Drosophila melanogaster: one gene and its partner. The protein of the gene in region 2 interacts with the protein of the main gene of each other region in a pairwise test. Each region holds a gene or a part of one and is shown on either strand. Other genes may lie near its edges.

Region 1 (3,092 bases), on a different chromosome or scaffold from region 2:
AAACTTGACTTTATGCGTGTGTGCCTTCCCCTCTGTTTACCATTATTATTATTATCATAATTGTAGCGGTTATCTTTCAATATTCGGCCACTTTACATGGGGAGCGATCCTTCTTTCGCTGCGTGTATCGTGCGCAACCTTCTTTGAATATATACACTGATAAGGATATGAACACCTACTTCTATTTTATTTTATTTAAATAGTTTGCGATTACTTTTAAGTACATTAACTAACTCCGAACAACGTGTATTTTTCATCCCCTTAAATAGTAGCTAAGTAAATTTTATGCCACCATTTTACGCACGTGATCTTTTATTCCAACTTATTGCAAACGGCAAACTGGAAATTACGAAATGGGGACGACAGATATTGCACCTAAGATCTTCGCTTGGCCAGCGCCAGAAGCCTCTGGAGCTGGACTGCGGCAGCCAGGGTGAGTATGTCGAAGTTCTTCAGGTACCAGGAGATGTTGTACATGATGTGGATGCGCCAGTTCTTGTCGAGGAACGCTTTGTAGAAGTGGCTCATCTGGTCCGCGGACACTTCGCTGGTTCCGCTTTCCTTGTGCAGGCGGATGAAGTCTTCCTTTTCCTGTAAACGAACCAATTCGAAAGAGACGACATTAGCGGACTAGAAAGAGATGGCACAGTGGTCGTGGTTGTACCTCGTAGAAGCGCTTATTGTGTTTTGTCCAGAAGTCCGTGTTCCATGCCTCCACCTCGATCCGCTTAAGACGCAGGCTTCTTGCCAGCCGCGTCTCCTCATCGCCGTAGTGCCGTACGTACGGACGTAGGTTTGATTGCGCGTCTGGCGGTCCTATATAGTCGCACTTCACCGTCTTGGGATCGGGCTTGTGTGGCAAACCGACGACGGGTTTTTCTTGTGGCGGTGGACATCCCGGCTGCACTGCGGCATAGCACCGCGGTAGCTGTGTAAACAAGAAATTGAAAATCCGAATCCTATAAGGCAACACACTCATGGACTCACGCTGAACTGGAAAAGCGATATCCGGGGCTGGCACCTAAAACATTTGTTCATTTTTCGGTTATGTTATGTGAGGTGCAGTGTGGCCGACTGTCACGCTAGGCAACAGATTAAATATTGATGCCAGCAAATATTACGGGCATTCGCATGCGATTCTCGACTGAATATCTGGAGTTCAGAAACCAGTAGCCAGTAGCCAGCCAGCTGATACATGTCGACAAAATCAAGAAACAGTTTCTTTTTCCAAAATGGTCGCATATTGCATGTTTCCAGTCGCAATTGAACCAATAGGAATGCAGCCTTGTGAACAGTTAGACCAAAGCTTAAGCAAGAGTATCAGAAGAGATGTGAACCCCTCTTGTTTCCCTGTTCGTGACACGCAATCGGCACGTCATGCTCGAGCAAATACCAAAATCCCTAGTAATTTGCTTGCGTTGTGAAAATAAAACGATATACATGCACATCTCTAAAAACAACGTAGAAACAGAGGCTAGTACACTTTCTGTTTATTATGCTCGCCTCATGATTGCAACAAGAAATCTACTGTCGCAATTCGATGCTTCAAAATTATTTCGGTCAAAATGGGCAAGATTATCGACTGTAGACACCAGGCGAACAGAAAACGTTGGAGTACGACCGCTGATCGCTCTGAGAAATTAAACAGCCGTTCATTGTCAGAAGGGGTCAACTCTGGCCAATCAACATTAAGCACTATGGGAAAGAACCGTTCGATTAAGTCCAGTCAACGCCTAGAGATACGTAAACCATTTGTTTCATTGTTCGTGTCACGAATTAGGCACGACATATGCGAATAAGCCAAAATTTCCCATGCTATTCCATTGGTACGTAAAAATAAAACGAGGCACGGGCACATCCCTAAAAACTAAGTGGAAACTTAGCTTTGGACTTTTGCAGTGGATTATGTTCGCCTAGTGTTTTGAGCTAAAAAGTGTTTTCGTAATTACAAAAACGTACGTATGTACTGAATTCCCCTATTAAGTTTTTTTTTTTATATCGTATTTGAACTGAGACCTATCGTTCTCTTCTAACCACCTCTATCGTTTATAGCTATCCCGTGACAATAAATCCAACTGGAAAAAACAAACGGAAAAACTCCGGGGAAAATTCCAGGGAAAATGTCACCCAAAAACAATCATGATCCCTCGTCGTCCGGCGACTCTGGCAACACCAATGTCCAGGAGGCGGACCTCCAAGGTGAGTTTTGACAGCGCCCCGTTTCTGCTCGGGATTGGCTCTAATGGAATGACCCCTACAGAGATGGAGGACGTGAACAACAGTCTGGACGCTCTCAGCTGTGCCCTGGACGCCGTGGAGCAGCGCACAGACGACATTATGTCCCAACTACGGGAGCTGCTGAACTCCAACCGAGAGATCCGTCGCCTGATTGCCGAGGAAAATGACAACGCTCCCGAATCGGGAGATGACAACATGGACGGGCAGGCGGGCAGCGAAGCGGCACCCAAGTAGATCCCTCTACGAGAAGTTATTGTTTTGTTCATCCAAATCGTTTTTAGGCACAATCAGTGCTGTTTTTTTTCTATTATCATGTATTTTTGTCCTAAGTCCTAAGTAAACGTAATTGAAAGCAAGCTTAAGGTTCACTATGTCTTCCGCGCTTTCTTGCGCTTTGTCTTCTCTGTGATTTCAGCCTGGCCATTGGTATCGCTAGTAATATACTTGAAAGCTATCTGGAACAAGCGCATTGACTGCGCTTTGAGGCGCGCATTCTCGGCCTGCAGCTCTTGCACTCTTTCGTCGCTTGTCTGTGCTGAGTCTGGCTGATATTCTGCATACGATTTTTCGGACTCAGCTTCCTTGGAGGCGGTTTCCATTGGCTCGGATTCAGGTTCTTCTTCTTCGACCTCGGAATCCTCGACATCTGTAGCTTTGGTTTCCGCCTCAATTCCTTCGTCGTCCTCGTTCTTTCCCGAACTCATGGACGCTATAAGTTTGAGTATTATCTCCTCATCCGTACCCGGATGACTTTGGGTGTAGTCCAGCTCCGGTGTCTTGCGTCCCCCGGAGTAGTCCGGATCGAAGAGCTCGATACAGTCATTCTCATCCCACGGACTAATCATTCGCTTTAG
Region 2 (3,362 bases):
GTAGCTTTTGTGACGCAACAATTGCATTTTATTTATTGCATAACTAGCGGTGTTTATGCGTCGGAGAGTGGATAGCAACAAGACGGAAAAAGAATGGGAAACAAGTAAGAGTGGCCAGGACCTGAAATAGAACCATTCTGCCTCTCGTAAAAGCGAATCCCCTTGCATACATACATACATACCCGCAGTTCAGCATAATAATTACAATCGCTATCAGCGCCGACATTTCACGATGAAAAACTGCATTGGCACGCAACCTGTTGTTGGCTTCCTGCTCCGGTTCCCAGCTAACTGAACACTCAGAGAAAATATTAGTAACTTGCCAGCAAATGGTATTAAAAATACTACCTGAACGGGACACGTAACTCAAGACTATTCTATATAGAGTTTAAAACTCTTGGGACATTTTTTTGAGATCTTTTTGAAACCTTTAAAATTTTTTTTGCTGTGCAGCTACAGATTCAACTCCCCAGGTCCAGCTAAGCGCTGGCTAAGAGAGGAGATGCCTGAGCACACTGTCCAGGACCAGGTCCCTCCTTTAACAGGTCCTAACTATGCAAAGCCATGAAACGCAAGTGTCGCAGGGATTATTCATGGACGGGGAATGAAGATGAAGCGGCCAGCGGGCTGTCAGTGACAGGTAAACGGAGAAAAGGGAAACGGAAGGACACGAAGCAGGAAAAGTCGAGGGGGAAAAAAGATTCCTAGGGATAGGATTTAAGAGAGGAGCACATTACTTAAGGCTAATTTCATTGCTGGAAATTCAACTATTCAATCTCGGAGAGGTGTAATAAAACATTTTGTATTTGCTTTCGCGATAAATATTTATTTTCCAGAATAGTGCGATAATAATTGCATATGAGTGAAACATGTAAAGTTTAAAACAGTCCAAATTAAAAAGTCTTTTTGACGCCTTGGCCGGAACAATGGATGTTGCTTGTCTTATTCTGCCTCTGAGTCTTATGCCAATCCATGATAAAGTCTTTGTTGATCTGGGCGACCCTCTCCAAATAGGCGACACTGCCCATGTCGCTGTCCAAAGCCAGGATTTCGCAATAAAGCGAGCTCAGCTTTATATTGCAACGTTCTACGGCGTCAGACAATTCGACTTCTCTGATTTCCGTCTCGTCTAGGAAATGCAATTTAACTTTCTCCTGATTGGTCACAAAACGAGTCCCTGCACCGGGCTTTTTGATCTCCGAATGCAAATCCAGCAGATACTTCTTAAGCTCTTGCAACGCTGCCATTTTCAGAAGAAGTCTGTCCTTTATGACTTTAAGTGCCTTGCGACATTGCTCTGCAGACACTTCCTGGCGTTTGATTAATTCAGCAATAGAGACATTGGAGTTTTTAGGTTCGGACATGAAAACCTTTATACTGTAAATGGGACGGATATTGTGCAGAGTTATGTTCGGTAAGTCCTTGCAGCTGATTAAGTCTGTAAAGTCGAGCATATTGTCGTTATCCATTCTAATTGATATCAAATTTTAACTTATTTTTCTAGCGGTTTATTTTAATAATTTAAATTTATACGAAGTTTCTCAGAAAGCAATATATGCAATGACTACTTTCCAAAAAAATGCTTTGCTATGTGATCGTTTAATTTCCCTTGTTAATTTCGTATATATAACCAATTTTAAGTTTCCTTTTTTCATGTTTCGTCATCAGCAAACGATGAATTTCTATGGATTCACTTTTAAACTTTTTATCCATCGCAATTTTATTTCATTTTTATTTGCGCTTTTTGCGATTTTTATATGCACTAAAAGTCAATTTATTCACTTGACTTAATTTGATTTCAACCTTCAAATAATCCAATAGAGTTTTTGTGCAGTCGTCCTTCACGGTTGCACCTTGAAAAAGGAGTTATTTCTGTTTTGCTGAAAGGATTGTTTACTTAAATGATTGTCAATTTATAAAAAAGTAGGGATCATGATAAAATAAATAATTCGACAACGATTGTTTAAATGTATATTATCTCATACATGTTTTGATTGCATTCTGTGAACAAAAAATTGTTCCGAAAAGCTAAATTAAATTACCTGTTCATCCTTGTATAATATTACTCATACGCAGTGGATGCCCGGGCCATTGATTTAAATTCAAGAAACTCACGAGCAACAGAAGTTCGAGAGAAGCTGCCGCAATCTCAACTGCCTCATTGTTAACCCGCACTCAATTTCGATTCCCAATATGCTCCACATAACCGAGAGTAGGGCTCGATTCTCTATGCCGGTAATCGTACGTGTGGAAAAGACGTCAGCACTGATTGCTGCATAAATGATTGAGCATGTGTGGTTGTGTGCGCCTGTCTTTCAATCCACATCGATGTGTGCGCTTGTGTAGGGCTGGAATGACTTGCCACAGACGAATCCCACTCACTATCAGCATTCCTCCATGCAACAGGACCTGCATCCCAGCGAAAAGGATGGGGTTGCATTATATGAAAATTGATGGGAAATGCCAAAATATTTAAATCTAATTTTGTGCCAGGCTGACAGGCAGCCAGCATTCGCCGAAGCCGCAGGCATTGCATTTGATTTTGATTCCCGTCCAGTTTTGCCAGCGTATTTGGCGACTTTTGCCCTGGCGAGCATTTAAATATTCAATACGATTATATTTTTAAACACGTAGCCTGGGGAAAAAAAGCCCTGACTGAACGACGGTGAAGAGTCAAATGGAAAAGGAAACTTTATTCAAAAGAAAAAATAAGAGAATATTCCTTGATGAAATAGGATTTTTTCTTTTGGAGTCGATTTTCATTTAACCCGATCAGATTTATTTTCATTTTAAATTGCAGTGAATATAGTTCTTTATGGTGCTAAAGATAATTTTTTATGCACGCTCAAAGTCCTTTAAGAAAAATGTTAATCCCAAGCAAATGAAAAATGAAATGACTTCAAAATTACTTGTCATTTTTGTTACATCAATGAGTGTGGCGAGTAAACAAAACTAAGCAATTTATATTATGAGTGTTAATAAAATATTTATAATATTTTATAAAATCTATGGTTATATTTTAAATAATATGTATCATATATATAAAAGGAAGCCTTAAGCTTTCCAGCCATATTAGTGGGAAACGTGTCCACCATTCACGGTCAACCATTTCCTTACGTTTGCTTCCTGACGCGCTTGAACAGAACTTAAAATAGAATTTAAATACCGGCAAATTGTCTGCCTTGGCACCTGTCTGCCCATTCTGCCCAGGACACCCATTGTCATCCCAAGACCCCCGCCCAACACCATTTTTCGGCCATCCAGCCAGCCAACCGTCCAACGATCCAGCGTCATTCGCATTTGCTATTTCCGTTTTGCACGGCCGTGTTGCTGTGTTGGCATTTCATTTAGCGCACAACTTC

The links.
Region 1: the proteins of CG15124 (region 2) and CG14818 interact in a two-hybrid assay, tested with the Drosophila melanogaster proteins (2 studies listed by BioGRID).

Annotation. Positions count from the first base shown.
Region 1 is NC_004354.4:1,878,519-1,881,610, reverse strand, and holds CG14818 (uncharacterized protein), read left to right. Parts: upstream 1-1,836; 5' UTR 1,837-1,955; intron 1,956-2,030; exon of another isoform or gene 2,031-2,052; 5' UTR 2,053-2,120; coding exon 2,121-2,199; intron 2,200-2,260; coding exon 2,261-2,472; 3' UTR 2,473-2,592; downstream 2,593-3,092. Other genes in the region: Coa8 (cytochrome c oxidase assembly factor 8), read right to left, coding at 376-591, 665-928, 988-1,038; CG14805 (uncharacterized protein), read right to left, coding at 2,607-3,092.
Region 2 is NT_033778.4:19,641,145-19,644,506, reverse strand, and holds CG15124 (uncharacterized protein), read right to left. Parts: upstream 1,561-3,362; 5' UTR 1,470-1,560; coding exon 894-1,469; 3' UTR 809-893; downstream 1-808.